Lonchura striata: one gene and its partner. The protein of the gene in region 1 interacts with the protein of each later gene in a biochemical or structural test. Links are inferred from orthologs where the notes say so. Each region holds a gene or a part of one and is shown in the gene's direction. Other genes may lie near its edges.

Region 1 (9,570 bases):
TGGGACAGGCTTTTGGACCATGCCAGCTATACCAAATCCCTGTGAACAGGGTTATAAAACTTGACAAGGTTGCTGCAGATATTTCATATCCTATTAAAGATGTAAAACCACTGACAGAGAGGAACCACTTAAAGATGCTAACTCACTGCTCGTGAAGGAGGCTGACAGCAAGGGGAAGGTCAAACAAAGGATTTTTGTGGGTGAAGATCAGAAACACACCCAAGTGGAGAAAAATGGCTGAATGCGTGGTAAAAATTGTAAAACATCACCAAACCAACAGCTTCTGCCATTCCTAATAAATGGAGGAAGAGCGTATTTTGCCAGTCAGTCCTACATACAGAGGAGAGCTGGCCTGTGACACCCATTAGCCAGGGTTTTATCCCAGCACAGACCATTCCCAATCATTAAATTTAGAGCTACAAAGTTATCAAGAGACTGGAGCATCTCTCTTATGAGGAAAGGCTGAGAGAGCTGGGCCTGTTCATCCTCAAGAAAGGGCAACAAAAAGGGGAGCTCATCCATGTCTATAAATGTTTAAAGGAGGGCGGCCAAGAAGACGGACCAGGTTCTGCTTGGTGGTGCCCAACAATAGGAAAAGAGGCAATGGGCAGAAACTGATGCACAGGAAGTTCCACCTGAATATGAGGAAGAACTTCTTTATATGTGAGTGACACAACACTGGAACAGATTGTCCAGAGAGGGTGTGGAGTCTCTCTCATTGGAGATGATTAATGATCTGTACACAGTCCAGTGCCATGTGATCTGGTATGACCCTGGAAGCAGAAAGGTAGGACCAGATGACCCACTGTGGTCCCTTTCAACCTAACACATTCTGTGATCTGTGATTCTGTAATTCAGTAGCAGTGGCTCTGCCACTGGTCCACTGGTCCTGTCACACTTGGTCCTCGCTTCCTGAATTACTCAGTCTTGCTTGCCTCTTTCAGCCATGCACTTTACTGCATTCCTCCAGCCTTGTTTATTCTTCAAAGCATTAAGTTCTATATCTAGACTTAAACACTCCATTACTACATTTAGGTTCTAAATCCAATATGTAGACTTCAAACTCTTGCTGTAATTCTGTACAATGTCACTGTGTGACTCTCCCCTCAGTGTTTGACTGGGCCTTTAATCCCCTTTTTGCATTCATTGGCATTGGCGGTGTTTGATCACATCATCTGTGTCCCAGACCAAGTAGTGGAGGGGTATTTGTGTAGGTTGCTTCTTTATTCAAAATGACAAGTCCTCTTAGTTCATCTCGTTAATTTTACCGTGGCATCCAACTGTACTTGGAACAGGCACGTGACAATCTCTGTAGTTAATTTTTAAATTTACTCTGGAATTTTTGACTCCTGTTGGTGAGGCACAGAGGAAACAGCAAAGAAGATGAAAAGTGCTTGAGAGTATATGACTGTATGTCCCGTAGATCCCTGCATGACACCTGCTCTCAGAAATTATTCCCCTTGTTTCAGAAGTGCCTTTATTTGTTGTTCTCCTCCCCCTCCTTTTATTTTTTTTTTTTTTTTGGCCAGCTTGAGGATAAGTGAACACTGCTGTCATTGTACAAAGCAGTACAACTCAGGTCAGAGGCAGACTCATCCCTTGACCAAGCTTTTAACCTGTTGGCAGTTGTTTGTGTTAAGCAAACAAACAATTTTCTGTCAGTTTTCCCCCATATTCTCCATCGCAGGGTTACAGAGCTTCCTTCAACTGAGTTGTCTTTCATTTAATGAGTGTTAGTTTAAAAGGATTTGTGATGTTTCAGTTGCAAAATGATGTTGAATATGCAGCTGGAAAATTGAGGCATACAGAGGATCTGTATTCACTGCTGATTTACTGTAAAATCTTGGTTGAAACATCTAAAATTCCCAGTCCAGAACTCTTGCTGTTTACAGGATTCCTGAGGAAACATTCAACACTGTTCTCTGCTCTCTGATGATCAGTGATAGTAGTACTGAAGGCACAACATGGAACTGTGTCAGAGGAAGTTTAAGCTGGATATTGGGAAACAGTTCTTCTCCCCATAGGGTGGTTGGGCACTGAAATGGCTCCTCAGGGCAGAGCAGTTGTCATGCCCCAAGGCTGCCAGAGCTCAAGGAGTGTTTGGACAACACTCTCAAGCACATGGTAGGATTTTGGGGTTGTCCTGTGCAGGGTCAGGAATTGGACTTGATGATCATATTCTATGATTCTCTGATTCTATTGTATGCAATGATCAGTAGTTCTGCATTGCTCGAGAATGGTTATTTATATGTGAAAGAGGAGCAAAGAAGGATATACGACTGTGTGGATGCTATTCCTGCTGGTACAGCCTCTCATTTGCCTGCTGTGCTGATGTGTTTATGAAATACAGGCAGGTTTATGATGCAGCTTTGCATCAGCGAAGAATGCATTGATCCCCATCTACAGCCTGCTGGGTTGATACATTCTCCTTTCCCAGGTGAGGAGCACAGACACCAGGGATTGGTGTCTGCCCAGGGTGACAAAGACTTCTCTTGAGGCTTGAGTTTATTCTCTAAGCTTTACAAAATTCCCTGGTAAGGTCTGGTTCCACGGCAGCTTCTGCTCCTGTACAAGTTAATTTATGACATGTTTTAAAGTTTGCCTTCAGATAAATGTCTCTTAGAGTCACACAGTTTTCAAATAGACAGTCCTGGATATGTCTGTCAACAGAACAGCAAGTGCCTGGCTTTGAACCACTCTTATTCAACTGTGATTTGTTTGTGCTTCCTCAGAGGCATGGAGCTTCCTGAATAATTTCTGACCCTGTGTTTGAGATGAGGGCTCTGTTAGGGAATAACACTGTGCCCACTGCTGCTTCCTGGCAACTGATTTTGTTTTCAGTTAATGCAGTGGAGTTAACCATCACTTGTTGGTTCTCCCAAAAGCTGTAAAACATTGTGGTCAGGTAGTGGTGTTGTGAGAGAGACAGAGCTCCTGTGTGCCCAGTCACCAGGAAAATAGGAAATAACATCCTTCTGCATGAACAAATGCCATCTCTGTATCAGTGCAACTGGCTTTCATGTCATCCTTGCTGAGGAAGAAGGTGTTCTTATTTTGTGTTTGTGCATGTTGTGTGAGTATTTTGCCTCTGTGGCACAGGATTGCTGACCTATACGTCACACCAAGATTTGCATGGCAAGCACTGGGCATGAGGAAAAGGGCTTCAGAGGAATCTAAACACAATACCACAATTCCTTTCCTAACCACTCTGAGACAATATGTCTTCATGCTCTAATTAAACAGCGGTTTGACATGTTTTTGCTGTTTTGATTGCCTTTGAACTTTGGCAGTGTGATAAACAAACTTTACTTCCTTTCCTACCAAAAACTGTGCTGCCTTAAAAGAGTTTATGTCCTTCATTCTGGTGTGACAGATCTTAGCATCCTCTTCTTGTGGCATTCTGTATGTGCTGATGCCAACAGCAGAGTGGACTGGCAGCTGTCACAGTGTGATGGGTGATGAACCAGGGATGCTGGAGCTCTGATGTTTCTTTGATAGCCCCTTTTAACTCACTGAGAGCTCCAAACATTAATGATTTCTCAGCCCTCAGCAGGTCACCACTGGTGGGGGTGCAAGGGCACATTCCTTTCTGATCGTGTCCAAGGCTGTGCAGACACTTCATGTGTCTGGGATACGTGATGAGTAATATGGAACAAGAAATGAAAGCAAGACAAATGGACTAAAGCTGTCAGCCAGTTCCCAGGCAGCCCGTACATGTTTCGAAGTTTGTTCATGGAGAGCAGGAGGAATATCCTTCATGTAATGTACAATGAACTTGCCCAACTTGCTAGCATAATAAAATTTGCAACAATTAGGCAGCTTGTTTTGGCTTTTAAGTTTATATGGAAGCATACTCTTAAAGACAACAGTACTTTCATTGCAGAACAGCAGTTTCATTGGTTTTTTTACCAGTGTTATTAATTGGCATATGTCAGTATTTTGGAGCTGCCCTCCATTTCAGGTGTGTAAATGCAGTGCACATTTCAACCCAAGGTTTGAAGTCTTGGCCAGTGAAAAGACTGAGCTGTAATTTCCTAAGGTGAGGGCTGGACAAACCTTCTGCTTAGGGGGAGGGACAAACTTCCAACCCTTGAGCCAGTCAGACACTCATCTCTTCCTTGAGATATCCACACTGTCTGCACAGGACTCTGTGTATTCTCTGGAACATCTGGCAAAAGCTACCATCAGCAGCTCATAAATTACAGCTCATGCCTGATGTCACAATTCCCATGTGAAAAACTGAAGACCTGTTTTAAACAATGTGACAGTGTCTCTTTTAATGTCCAGTTCACAAGCTTTCAGCCTTTTTGCTTCTATTCTGCAAGCGTGAAATAAAATTTATCTCTGGTGGCTTTTTCCATGCCTGTTGGCAGGCAGCCCAGTGCGCCTCAAATAGCAGCGAACACGATGAGCTGAACCTGTGCTTGTAGCATTTGGTTAATGTCCCCAAAAAAAGTATGGATTACATTGTTTTACCCCAGCAAGTAAGATTGGTGTTCTTCTGACTTCTTTGGAAACATTCTTGCTTTTTTTTTTGTAAAAGCCATAGACTACTAGGCCTTAATGGTAGACAAATCTCTAAGAACTGGAAAAGGGAAAATTTCTGGTTGCAGAAGTTACTGTTTTTTGTTACGAGCAGGTTTCTTAGTGGTTTCACTTACTATTTATCGCTGCAAAATTCAGTGTTGAAATCTGATACTTCTAACACACTGTGTTGTCCAGACTGAGGTGAACACAGGGACACAGCAATGGGAACAAAAATCCATTGTTTTACAACTCAGCAATTATTCTTTAGGCTCTGCAGGCACCAGCTTCTTCACTTCCTCCTACAGAAAAGAAAGCAGTACTTCAGTCATAGCTCTTTATTTGCAAACAGTGGCAAGGTTATACTTTCTCAGGACTCAGATTTTTTTCCAGCCCTGCTGCTCCTTACAGACTTCAGCCCACTGGGCACAGCTGGAGCCTTCAAGATGCTCCTAAAACATTGTAGACATCACAAGAGATTTGCAGTGAAAATTCAGCCTCTGATTAAGAGAAAAAAATTTGAGGACTGGGCAGTGAATTTTGCAATTTGAACCAGAAAGCTTTCAAATAATTATTTTCCAGCTTTTATAGCAGTGACACTGATTTTGAATGAACTTTCCTCTGCTTCATACTTTTTAGTGTTTCCTTTCTTCGGCAGCTGCACTGTGCTCCCAAATGCTGGAATGTACATGTCGCATACCTGGCGTGTAATCTGCACCTGGCATGAGTTAATTGCTATGCTGAGTTCTGTGAATCACAGCTAAATAAACAGGCTCATGTGAAGAGAAAACCCACTGGATTTGTGTTTCCAGTTGAAAAAGTATCTGCATGTTTATATTTAAATTGTTCCGAGCTCTGTTTTGGCCTGAGGTCATCAAACTACTTTGAACCAACTGGTTCCAGTGGCAGTAGCCATAGGAATGCTGGGAATACACAGGAGTGGTCTCCGCCTGTCTGATTGTGCAGGCACTAAGTGCAAACATGAGAGCAGATTATGGACACCCCACCTCAGCTCTCACACCTATCTCAAACCCAGCTGCCAAGGGGGTCTCCTGGCTAAGGGGTGACCCTGGCTGAAGGTAAACTCTTCCTTAGGTGGGAGCTGACTGGGAGCTCTTAGCTGATAAGGCCCTGGCTGAGGGGAGCTCCTGTCTGAGGAGAGATCCCGACAGAGATGCTGGGTGACAGGAGACCCTGCCTGGGATGGGCACTGACTGAGGAACTCCTGGCTGAGGAGAGATCCTGCACGACGCAAGCCCTCGCTGAGAGCGACCCTGCTGCAACGGGCGCTGGCGGGGGAACTGCCGGATGAGGGGGTATCTCGGCCTAGGCGGGCATTGCCCGAGGGGCTCTTTCCGGGCGAGGAGGACACACCCGGAACGTGCCGCAGCTCCTGGGGGTCCCGGCGGGCCAGGTCTAAGCCCCCTACGTGCCCCGGCTCGGCCTGGCCCGGCACCCGCGCAGCCTCGGACCGGCAGCCCCGCGCCAGGGCCGCGGCCAAGGGGCGGCAGGGCGCGGCGGGCCGGGAGGGGCGCGGCCAGCGAGGCAGGCAGGGCGCGGCGGAGACGGGAAGAGCGGAGCCTGGCGGGGAGGGGCGGCGGGGCGGCGCGGGGCGGGGCGGCGCGCTGGGGCGGCAGTCGGGCGGCAGCCGCGGCCGGGGCGGGAGCGGCGGCAGCGCGGGGTGGGTAGGGTCGCCCCGTGTTGCGGCATGTCCAAGACGCTGCGGAAGAAGCGGCACTGGCTGAGCAAGGTGCAGGAGTGCGTGGTGTCCTGGGGCGGCCCAGCGGGCCCCGACCCCGATCTGCTGCGCGGCGGCGCCGAGCGCGGCGAGTTCCCGTACCTGGCGGGCCGGCTGCCCGCGGGCGGCGAGGACTCGCCGGGCCCCGCGCTGCTCTCGGGCAAGGCGCCGGCGCCGGGGGACGTGCTGCTGGAGGTGAACGGTACCCCGGTGAGCGGCCTCACGCACCGCGACACGCTAGCCGTGGTGCGGCACTTCAGGGAGCCCGTACGCCTCAAGACCGTGCGCCCAGGTGAGCGCCCTCCACCGCCGAGCTGGACCGAGGCCCTCCCGCCGCCGCCCAGCCGGCCGCGCGTAGGCCCGGCCGCGCCGGCGCCCTGGGGCGGCGGGAGGGCCGCGGCGGGGAGCGGCGCCCGGAGGCAACCGGGCGGAATCCGGGGCGCGGGTGCCCCGCTGGGAAAGTTTCCGCGGGTTCGGGAAGGCGCCGCTGCCGAGAGGGGTGATGCAAGGCAGGAGGCGGTCCCGCAGTCTCGGGGCGGCCTCAGGACGGTGCTCTCTCCCCAGTCCCGTCCCGGTAGCCTCTCCCGAGGGTCCTCTCCCCGTCCGGAATGCCCGGCTTCGCGATGCAGCGTTTGTGCGGGTGTGACCCTCGCGGGGCTCTGGGTGACTCAATGGCCCCTGGAGGGTCTGGTGCCTGCGTCCTCCTCTCGGAGGTGCAGGAGGTGCTTTCCGTGGTGTTTATATAATCCGCTGCTTGCAGAGGTCGAGGGTGGGTGGGGAATGGCCGGGATGGAGCACCGGAGTGCCATCGCTTCATCCTCTTAGTTTCCCACTTGGCAGAGATAAAAGCCCTGAGAACAAACTCCGGCTGTTATTTTTTCCACAGATTTGTATTATTTTTGAGTACACTTCAATTAGCTAGTGCTTGTGGTAACATCATATTTATCAACGTGCCTGTTAAATGTCAGAGTAATGCTGAATAGTGGCGCTTGCAGCTGCATGAGTTAATTCATGAGCTCCAGAGGTACCTTCTGCTTTCTTGGTCAGGCAAACCAGATGTGAGCCTGCTGCCTTATAAGAAGGTGTCTTGGGAAAAAGTATTTTTCTCTGAATCTCAATGGATATCAGTATCTCTATTATTAGGGTCTATAATATTTCTCCTAGTGCTTCTTTGCTGAGCACTTGTCTTGTTCTTCTTTGGTAACTGCTGGGTGCTCTCTGACTTCATGTAATATGTATTTTAAGTCGGGTTTTCCCTGTTTGACCACTAATGGAAAGTCATGTTCCATATAGAGATTGTGCTGTTGGTCCTGATTCATATAACTTGCTAAATTAAAGCAACAATCAAAAAAAAATCCCATGAAACAGACACACATCTTAGAAGCCTGGTAGGTTTTGAAAAAGGTCTTTATTTACAAAATTGGAAGTCCCTTCTGAAGGGAGAAAATGTAAAAGAAAAAACAGCTGCAAGTTAGATGTGAACTAAGAGGATTTTAAAAAGAGAGACAAATTGTTTAAGATAAAAAATAATCTCTTTTTAAAAGAGAAAGCTTGTGAAAGATGAAATTATAGTTCATAGGGATTTCTTGTATTTCCTATGGAGGGAGTATTCTTGTGCTGGTAATTTCTTAACAGCAATGTCAAACTGGCAAAAAATATTTAGAAGAAATAGCTGCAATTAGCAGTAGAAAATGGCAAGAGCTAGATGATGTTCATGAGGGCTTCCAGGTATTAACAGTAGTGCATTGCCTGTTCCTTAAATTCTGGGTGGTGTGAAAGGGAGAGGAGTGGGGAGTATAGAGTACTGATAAGAAAAGAGTCCAGAAGGTCAACAGAGGCTGGTTGGTGATTCCAGCAAGTTGATTAAAATTTGAGTTTTAGAAGAGAAATAGAACATTGGGCATGTGAACCAATACCACTTAATGAGCAGAGTGGGCTGCTTTCACTGGCTGGTTTAATCAAATCCGAGTATTTTGGTGAGGTGGATTTTCAAATAGGCTTTCAGTAAGGTATCACTGACTTGGATGAGTCTCTTGCTGAGTGAGCATGGTGTGGCAGTGTAGCTGCCAAAATAGAAGAGCAGAATTCTCCTGTGGCTTAGTAACTAGTTAAAACAGAGGAATGGTTTCTTCAACAGAAGAAAACTGCTGCTGGAGTCTTGTAAGGACCTGTGCTGTTTAGCATAGTCATCCAGAGCTTGTAAACCTGATGCTGGTGAGTTGTACAAAGAGAAATAGCATTTTTGTGCTGATTTTATGTAACTTTTGGAACAGATCAAACAAAATCTTCAGAACCAGCAATTTTTCCCATACTGGAGCATATGTACCGCATCAGATGATTTTTGTAGTCATTTTCTCAGTTAGATTTAGTGTCCTTGAATACAGTATTTTAAAATATACTGGGTTTTGGTTGTTTTTTGCAAGGCTGCCACAGCTGCACAATGGCAATTTTCCAGTCAGGGTATATGTAATTAGGGAAGTTGTTGACAAGGCATTCTCTGTGAAGACCTGTGACTTTGAATTTGGCTTCCCTTTTGATCCAGAGCTATCCAAACCCGCCAAGTTTTGGAAGGCGTCTGGGAAGGTGCATGTGACCATGCAGGTGGTTGAGATGAAGGGAGTGAGGGCCAGGAGCTGGTGGTCCCTGGTAGGCACATAATACGTCTGAATTCTCAAAGACATGTAATTGTGTTACTGCATTTCAGGGTCCTGTGTTTCATGATTTTCCTCAGTCAAAACTGAAACCATCATTTGAAAGGCATGGAGTGCTCTGCCAGCAGACCTTTGTGTGCCCCATGGCTCTTCAGGCTTGGGTGCTATTGGGATAGAAGTCCGAGGGAATCTAGTGTCAGGGACTGACAGTGAGGGATTTGTCTCCTTGAATCTGAAGTGTAGGGTGTTTCTAAGGTCTCGATGCCCACAATCTGCCTGTGCATTTTAAAGGGTGAGTTTGGTGCTCCATCTTCCAGGTGAAGTCTGTGCAGGTGACCTGGTGGCTTTGAACAGCAGGATCTGAACTGCTTTAGTTCAAGTCATAATATAGTCACTCCTTCATTAAAAGGCAGTAACAGCTTTAGTTGACAGTAGTAAAATCTGTGATACTTCTTGCAAGCTCATAGAAAATTTAAAATGGAAATTTCAAAATGCTGTTTAGGCTTGTTTAATAAGACATTTGAAGGATATGAATGTTAATTGGAATGCCATCTGTTAATTGCACATCACAAACAACGGACCATTTTGTTGATTGAGGAATTTGTCCTTCCCATTCTTGTCCTATCTTTATTACAGAATTACAAAATCAGCCAGGTT
Region 2 (9,215 bases), on another chromosome or scaffold:
AGCCATCTCCTGTGCTTGGCAAAACCAACTTCAGTCGTGGGAAAAACAGCAGGGGAAGAAAAAAAGCAGCGATAAGCAACTTTTATCTGGGCTGTGACCGCTCTCCCCGTTTCCTCTGCTGCCCTCACGTTGTGTCACTCTGTCACCTGCAAGCAGCAGCAGCGCTGAGTGATGGATGGGCAGCTCAGTGGTGATGAATCCCCGGTGCTCAGCTGTTCCAGCGGTGTCAGGTTCCACACAAAGCCCCTCGCTGTGCTCCGGGGTCATCGCCGTGCCCGGCAGTTTCCCTTCCCTCGGTCTGCTCTGAAACGCAGCAATTGCTTCGCTGTGAGTGCTGGGGCTGCAGGGGTTAAAATCTGGGTGTCCCACACTCGGGTACCCCGCAGGTGCACGGGGAGGACCAGAGCACCCCCAGCCCTGGTGCAATGTCGGAATTTGAGCTATTGATGATTCCAAAATTGCAAAGAGTCTCTGTCTGTCAGCCCCCATGCCAAAGCAGAAGCCAGAATTGGTCTGTGCTGGTTTCCAGGTTGTTTATTCTGTTTATCTCTCACATGTTCTGCTGCCCTGCCCAGCTCTGTCCTGCAGGGCAGCGTGTGGGGCTCTGCCCTCAGTGGGATGTGACAAACATTCAATACCAGAAACTCCCTGGGCTGCATTTACAAGAACGTGCCAATATCTGTCACCTACGTTGGACAGTGTGTCCCCAGCCTGAACCAACAGAAAAATGCCAACACCACAGTGACACATGGAGGGCATGAAGAAGGAGAAAAAGGACAAGGCACACCCAATTTCCTCCATCTTGTCCCCTTTGGACCCCTCATCTAGAATTCTAAAATTTTACTTTTGTGCCACACTTAATTAACACTTATATCAAACCCTCAGAGCTAGTAATTAATGCTGTAAGATTGAAAACTCTTTTCCATGGCCAGAGATCACAGGCAGTGTCTCTGGGGGCTCTGTCCAGGGGGTTCCTGACCCTGCCAGGGTCCCAGGGCAGCCAGAGGGAAGCTCTGGGTTCCCACAGTGAACCAGGTCCTGCTTTGTTCTGTTCCCTTTCCCACCCTCACAGCACCCTCGGGTGGGGTCAGGTGGGGACAGTGGCACCTGTGGGAGCAGCTCCAGGGTCAGGCAGCCGGTGGCACCTGTGGGAGCTTTAGGGCAGCTCCAGGGGCAGGCAGGAGCTGTCCCAGGCCCTTCACACCGCCCTGCACCCCCCAGAGCAGAGCAGAACCCCCCCACTGCCCCTTCCCCTGCAGGGCACGGGGTGGGCACCGTCCCGGGGGGCAGAGGTGGCAGCATCACCCCCTTGGACCGAGGCTGGAGCGTCTCTGTCCCCTGCACTGCCCCTCCTGACCCAGGGCAGTGCAAAGGGGACCCTGGGCTTTCCTCACTGACAGCCCAGAGCTCCCCCCTGGCCGTGCAGGGAGCTCCGGAGAGAAGGGAGCAAACAAAAACTCAATTTTATCACTCAAACCCTCTTCTGACTGCGCCGGTCTTCCCGACAAGGAGAAGGGAGAGATTAACCAGGAGCTGCAAGTCAGGGGTGGCTCCCTCTCATGGCTTGGAGGGACGGAGAGGAAAATCAATCAGGAGCCAGGAGGCTGCACTCTGATCCCCCCAAAAACCTGCACAGAGCACCCCGACCCTGCTCTGAATCTTGAGGGAGCCTAAAGAATCATGGAATGGCTTGGGTGGAAGGGACCTTAAAGATCACTGAATTCCATCCCCAGCCACAGGCAGGGACACCTTCCACCACCCCAGGTGGCTCCAAGCCTCCTCACACCCTTCCCTGCGAGGAATTTCACAAATTCCCCTGCTGCCAAACACCGCTTTTGTTGAGGATTGTCACTTCCAAGCTCTTGCCAAGAGCCTGATCTGGCCAGGGTATTTAATTCCAGTTTGTGATAAACATCTGGGCAGGCACACAGCATCCAGCTCCTCACAGTCCTCAGGAAAGCCTTCCATGCCAAAAAGACGGGCTGTTTATTCCAGTTCTGTCAGTTGGGCTGATAAAAGTGATTATTTCTCTCTCCCAGCCCTGCTTTCTCATTGATCCCACAGGCTGCTCTTCAAATGTCACTCAGCGAGCAGGGAGAAGGTATCCAATTATGGAAAGGGAAAAGATCAGCGTGATGACAAAGCACCAGGGCCAGTGGGCCATGAAACAAATGAGATCTGTCTGGTTCTGACACCCTCCAAGTCCAAGGAACCCAGAAGGAGGCATTTTGGGCCTCTCCCCTCCAAAAAAATTCAAACTGAACTGTTCATAACATCTCTGAGGTTTGGTATTATTTTTGTTCCAATATGAAGCCTTGAACCTGATGGAAATCTAATAATTGCTCAAAAGCACAGGTAAAGTCATGCAAACCTCACAAGCCAGTGAGACTTGGGGTGATGGAATTTATTTTTATGTCAGGCAAATTCCTTCCTTTTTTAGAGCCTGTGGTCACTTGTCCAACTTACTGAGGGCCACAGATGTGTTGTCAAAGACAAAAATCATCTCAAGCCCACCCGAAAAGGTGAGCAAAGATTGCCGGAGAGCAAATCAAGGAACAAAAATCAGCTTTGCCCTCCTTCCTCCAGCACAGCCTCTTGTCCAAAGCCCAGGCTGAGATTTCTTTGAACAGAGTACAACAAAGACAAAATACCGAGCTGGAGACGGGGCTGGCTGATCCCTGCAGCCTGGGCACAGAGCTCCAGAGTCCTGGAGCTGCCTCTGGAGAGGGATTGCAGAGCCAGGGCTGCCTTGGGTAAAAGCCTTGTTACAAAGCAGGGAACTCGCCTGTGCCTCTCTCAGAGCAGCAGTTTCCCACACATCCCCAAATCTGCTTCTGCTCCTGCCAGGACCCAGTGCTGAACATCTGTAGGATGAACATCCTTATGTTTATCAGGAGAGGGGACTTAATTCTTTAGGAATGCTTGGATTTGGTGTCAAAATGCTCAGGAACAGCCCAGCAAACTCACCTGGTCACTACCTGACACCTCGAGTGCTTCTTAGAGCTGTCACATCAGCTCTTACCAAAAAAAGGGAACAGGGAGCTGAGGATGAGGTGTAGTTCCCACAATTTCTCCTTTTCCTCCTGTTTTTTTCTTTCCCACTACTGCACTTCCTGCACATCCTTGCTTTCCCAGGAGCTTTTGGCCGTGTTTTCCCTGCAAGGTGGGAGCTGCTGGCCTGGGGCAGAGGGTGGGAATGGACATTGCACCCAGCTGGGCTCGCCGAGCCCCTGTGGGGCACAGCCCTGCTGGGGTGAGGTCTGTGAAAGCCTCGGGGCCACAGAGTGAACCCAGCAGGTCCCAGCTCTGCCTGGCTGTGTGTGTAGGGAGGGATGGCCCCGTGTGCCTTATTTATCTTACGGGCAGGGGAAGCTCCAGGTAATCAGCTCAGATGGTGAGCTCCTCCCAGGGTCCCTGCTCTGCCAGATGTCTGCAGTGGGAGGGGGGTGACTTCTGCATCTCCTGTTCCTTGTCTCTTCATTTTTAAGCCTCTGAAGCGTGTGGATGCAGAGGTGGAGTGTGGGGAGAGCAGGGAAGCCGCGGGTTCAGGGCAAGACAGACACTTCATAACTGCCTTTAATCTCGTTTCCTGATTCCAGTACCTCATCTGCCCCTCTGGTTTAAACCACCAAACTTCCTCCCTCCCCTATAAATATCCCCAGCACAGCCAGGGCATGGCATGGACACCCAGCAGGCTGTGGTGTGGGACAGTGGGGCAAAGACAGCCAAAAGTGGGGAACCTGGCCCTGGCACCCCAGTACTGCAGGAAAAATGAGGCAGAATGATGAAAACGCATCAGAACCCAAGAGCTGATGAGTTTCACATAAGATTCACCATTGATAAGTGTTTAATTGCTGACAAAGGCAGGAGTCTGGCACTCCTGTGCCATGGGAGGGCCACAGAGCTGCATCCAGCCAGGGACTGACCTGCAGCTGCTGCTGCTGGCATTGGGGTAATCTGGGTGAAAAGAATTCTTTATTTTCTCCCTTTCTGTAGTACCGAGCTGTTTTAGAACCACAGCTTTCAGCTGAAACCTCTGAAAGCAGCCAGGGCCAGCAGAGTGAGATGGGTCTCTGGGAAAGCAGTGCTGCTTCAGAGGGATGGCAGAAATGAAACTCCAGAGGCAGCGTTTTATCTCCGGACAGGCTAAAAGGAAGTTTTCAGGATTCCTTAGCTCTTATTTAGCCAGTTTGTTTGTTTTGGAGGGGAGTGCTTGTGATAGTGTCGGGCTCTGAACACGTGCCTGGCTGCAGCGTGGCCAGCCACAGTTTCCAGTGGTCACTCCCTGCCTGGCCAGTGCTCCCAGCACAGTTAAGGGCTGTCTCTACCCTTGAGCAGCTCTGGGATTCCTGTGGCTGCTTCACTTGGATGCGCCCCACAACTGGGGAGCAGCAAGAGCACCGAGCTGGCGACTGGCAGGGACGGGGACACGGGTGACATCCTGCCACGAGGTGCCACCAACGCCGGTGGGGTGCCAGGGGCTCCCCGAGTCCTCGGGATGTTCCTGGCGCTGTGCGTCCTGCTGAGCACACGGGGGGCACGGGTGGGGTGGGGACACCGTGGGGGGACATCAGTGACGCGGGGAGAGCACTGCGGGCAGAAGGCGCAGGGACACGGCGGTGCCTGGAGCACATCCCGGGGCGGGGACGGGAGGGCACCGCGGGGACGGGGGAAGGGAGAACCCCACGGGGAAGGGGGAAGGGAGAACCCCACGGGGAAGGGGGACGGGAGGGCACCGCGGGGACAGGGAGTGGGGAGAGCCCCCGGTGAGCGCACCCCGGGGCAGGGAAGGGAGAGCACCGCGGGGACGGGGAACGGGCACGGAGCTGGGAGAGCCCCCGGCGAGTGCACCCCGGGGCAGGGGGACGGGAGGGTACCTCGGGGCAGGGGGAAGGGAGAGCACCGCGGGGAAGGGGAGCGGGCGGTCAGCGCACCCCGGGACGGGGACGGGAGAACCCCGCGGGGAAGGGGAGCCCGCAGTGAGCGCACCCCGGGGCAGGGAAGGGAGAACCCCACGGGGAAGGGGAGCCCCCGGTAAGCACACCTCGGGGCAGGGGGAAGGGAGAGCACCGCGGGGAAGGGGAGCGCGCACGGAGCGGGGCGAGCCCGCGGGGCGCGGGGATGCGGCCGGCGGGGCGGGGACACGCGTGGGGCAGGCGGGGGTGGCCGCGGGGTGCGGGGGGGCCGGGGTGCGGTGCCGGCTGCCATTGGCTGCGGCGGGCTGATGTCACGGGCTGCTGTCACTTAAAAAGCTCCGCGGCGCCTAACGGGCTGGGACACGGGCTGGGACACGGGCTGGGACGGGACGGGAGCGGAGCGGAGCGGCGCCGGTGCCCCAGCGCAGCGGCCCCGCGCCTGCCCCGCACCTGTCCCGTATGCGCGGCTCCCGGAGCGGCGCCGCGGCTGCGGAGCGCTGAGCGGAGCCGAGCCCTCCCCGCCGCCCCGGGGCTGCGCCGGGCCATGGCCGCGGCGGGGACGGAGCTGCCCGGCGGCAACGCCAGCGCCAACCAGAGCGCCGCCGACCCCACGGTGTCGCGGGACGTGTGGATGGTGGGCATGGGCATCCTGATGTCGGTGATCGTGCTGGCCATCGTCTTCGGCAACGTGCTGGTGATCACGGCCATCGCCCGCTTCCAGCGCCTGCAGACTGTCACCAACTACTTCATCACCTCGCTGGCCTGCGCCGACCTGGTCATGGGGCTGGCCGTGGTGCCCTTCGGCGCCTGCCACATCATCATGGAGATGTGGAAGTTTGGGAACTTCTGGTGCGAGTTCTGGACCTCTTTGGACGTGCTGTGCGTCACGGCCAGCATCGAGACCCTGTGCGTCATCGCCGTGGACCGGTACTTCGCCATCACGTCCCCGTTCAAGTACCAGAGCCTGCTGACCAAGGGCAAGGCGCGCGTGGTCATCCTGGTGGTGTGGGTGGTGTCGGGCCTGACCTCCTTCCTGCCCATCCAGATGCACTGGTACCGGGCAGACCATGAGGACGCCATCCGCTGCTACCAGAACGAGATGTGCTGCGACTTCTTCACCAACCAAGCCTACGCCATCGCCTCCTCCATCATCTCCTTCTACCTGCCCCTCGTCGTCATGGTCTTCGTGTACGCCAGGGTCTTCCAGGTGGCCAAGAAGCAGCTGCAGAAGATAGACAGGAGCGAGGGGAGGTTTCACACCCAGAACAAGGAGCAGGAGCAGAAAGGGGGAGCCGGGCACCGCCGCTCCTCCAAGTTCTTCTTGAAGGAGCACAAGGCCCTCAAAACCCTGGGCATCATCATGGGCACCTTCACGCTGTGCTGGCTGCCCTTCTTCATCGTCAACATCGTGCACGTCATCCAGGACAACATCATTCCCAAGTACCTGTACATCCTCTTGAACTGGCTGGGCTACGTCAACTCTGCCTTCAACCCCCTGATCTACTGCCGGAGCCCCGACTTCAGGTACGCCTTCCAGGAGCTGCTGTGCCTGCGCAGGTCCGCCCTCAAGATGTACGCCAACGGCTACTCCAACAGCAACGGCAGGAGCGACTACAACGAGGAGGACAACGGCTACCCCCTGGCCCCGGATAAAACCTGCGACTTGCTCTGCGAGGAGGGCTCCTTCCCTCGCCCCGAGGATTTTTTGCACGGCAAAGGTACTGTGCCCGGCGGGGAGGGTGCTGGGGGCTCGGGCGGGGGGTGCACAGAGGAGCCTTTCCAATGAAAATCAACCTCCTTTCGTAACGAGAGTGATTGTTTTTTAGAGAGCGCCTAAAACCTAACAGCTGCAAGAAACCCCAAACTCAAACTCTGCAAGCTGGCCCCTGGCAGGGCGGAGGGGCTGCTGGCAGCCCCCCCTGGTTTGGGGCACGACCCGGGGGTCCCTTAGCAGGGTGGGGGACGCCAGGCTGTGCAGGATGCTCGTCCCCGGAGGGATTTCTGGCCGTGGCCGGGACTGAACTGGCCTGGCACTGAACTACCTCATGACCTTGTGGGAGCTGGGAGCGGGGCTGGACCCCCCTGCCCGGTGGGACCGCTCCCGGTCCCCTTGTCACATCCCCGCTGGTGGCTGTGGGAGCCCTCCAGGCCAGGAGGGCACCTGGGGCAGGGGTGGCAGGGTTGTCCAGCCCGGGGCACTTTGCGGAGATGGCAAAACCCCTGAATTTGATCTGCGACAAACCGGCGGGGAAGGGATGCAGGCAGCGGGGCAGGCTCGGGGCTGCCGGCGCTGGGACAGTTTGATCACCGCCCAAAAACTGCGAGTGCTCTGCGGGGTTTTGTTTTGCCGAGTGCCACAGGACTTTCTGCAGGGGAAAAAAAAAATATAAATAAACGGAATCGTTTGCCTAGAATGTGAACCTGTGACTGTGGGACTCAGGAATGTGGCACTGGGAAGTCGGGTGACACGCGGCTACAATCACAGCCCAGCCAAAAGCTCGTAAAGCGCCCGGTTTGTTTAACTGCGAGGCTCAGATGACAGCGAGCCCGGGGAGGTGGGACGGGAGGAGGTTTGGATTTTCCGTGGCACCCTGGAAGCGCCGCTCCGACCGCGGCACGGCTGCAGGTCGCTGGGGTTGGGTGTGGAGGGGGTTTGTCCCGTGTGCCAGGCTCTGCCAGGTGTCCCCGGGACAGGACAGGACAGGACAGGACAGGACAGGACAGGACAGGACAGGAGAGTCCCTGCCTGGAGGGGGCAGCAATTTGGGCTGGGGGCGCACCCCGGTGCCGGAAGGGTGTGCAGTGCGGGGTTCTTTCAGGAATACTCGGGAAAAGGGCAGGAAAAGCTGCTCCCGGGACCTCTCGGGCCGTGGTGTCCCGGGGAATGCTCGGGCGTGCGGAGTCCCCGCATTTCCACGCGCTCTCCCCGCACCACGGTGATGTGATGTTGGTATTGGTGTTGGTGTCGGTGTTGGTGTCGGTGTTGCTGTTGCTGTTGCTGCTGGTGTTGGTGGCGTTGTCGGCTCGCTCCGTGCTCAGTTTGGGGGTGTGGGGGTCTCTGGGTGCCCAGGGGACCTGGGTGGGTGGCGAGCGGCCAGCCCGGGGCTGAGTCCCGGTGCAGCAGGAGGCAGAGCGGCTTTGGGGCAGCGCCGTGCCCCGTCCCGGAGGAGCCGGGGTGGGACGGGGGCGGAGCGGGTTTCTGGTTACCGACACCCCCGGCCGTGCCCGTGTGGCCTCGGCTGCTCTGAGGACTCGCCCCGAGCGCTGGTGCCCACAGGGCTGGAGGGGAATCCCCCCGGACGGGCAGGGAGCACGGGGGGTGTCAGCCTGGGGACAAACTGCTGGAGCTCTCCGGGTACAACGCGGGGCTCCGGGAATTCCTGCTGCTCCTTTTCCCAAAATGCTGCTGATCCTGCCTGGGAAGGAGGAGCAGCGCTAAGAGCCCTCTCCTCCCCAAGCTGTGACTGACTCGGCTCCTGTTGTCGCCTCGGCACCGAGCGGGGCCAAGGAATGTGCCGGGAGCGCTTCCGTGCCCTCCGTGCTGGCTCGGGAAGGATGCCAGCCGTGCCCCGGTGTGGTGTCACGGTGAAGGGATGCCAGCCGTGCCCCGGTGTGGTGTCACGGTGAAGGGATGCCAGCCGTGCCCCGGTGCCCCGATGCGGTGTCACGGTGAAGGGATGCCAGCCGTGCCCCGGTGCAGTGTCACGGTGAAGGGATGCCAGCCGTGCCCCGGTGCGGTGTCACGGTGAAGGGATGCCAGCCGTGCCCCGGTGTGGTGTCACGGTGAAGGGATGCCAGCCGTGCCCCGGTGCCCGGGGAGTGGCACGGGAAGGGTGCGGTGGCACGGTGACACTCGGTGGCGTGAGCGGCCGCAGGGCAGCCCCCGGGATAAACATTAAGAGGGCAGGAGCGGCGCTGGCAGGCGCTGCTCGCTCCGCGCTGCACCAGCGCTGAGAGTGCGGAGCTGTGGGCTTGGTGTAGGTACACTCGGTGTAGGAACTTGGTGTAGGAGTACTGCTCAGTGTAGGTACACACTCGGTGTAGGAACACATTCAGTGTAAGAACACACTTGGTGTAGGAACACACTCAGTGCACGTACACACTTGGTGTAGGAACAGAGTGTAGCACTACTCAGTGTGGGTACACACTCGATGTAGGAGCACACTCGATGCACGTACACACTTGGTGTAGGAACACAGTGTAGCACTACTCAGTGTGGGTACACACTCGATGTAGGAGCACACTCAATGCACGTACACACTTGGTGTAGGAACACAGTGTAGGAACACAGTGTATGAA

What was found.
Region 2: the proteins of MAGI3 (region 1) and ADRB2 form a complex in vitro, tested with the Homo sapiens proteins (2 studies listed by IntAct, with this or other methods). The link is inferred for Lonchura striata from reciprocal best matches to the Homo sapiens genes MAGI3 and ADRB2.

Annotation. Positions count from the first base shown.
Region 1 is NC_134632.1:5,996,044-6,005,613, forward strand, and holds the start of MAGI3 (membrane-associated guanylate kinase, WW and PDZ domain-containing protein 3), read left to right. Parts: upstream 1-6,153; 5' UTR 6,154-6,232; coding exon 6,233-6,554; intron 6,555-9,570.
Region 2 is NC_134617.1:1,907,959-1,917,173, reverse strand, and holds the start of ADRB2 (beta-2 adrenergic receptor), read left to right. Parts: upstream 1-5,407; 5' UTR 5,408-5,460; coding exon 5,461-6,634; intron 6,635-9,215. UniProt on the Homo sapiens protein: Beta-adrenergic receptors mediate the catecholamine-induced activation of adenylate cyclase through the action of G proteins. The beta-2-adrenergic receptor binds epinephrine with an approximately 30-fold greater affinity than it does norepinephrine.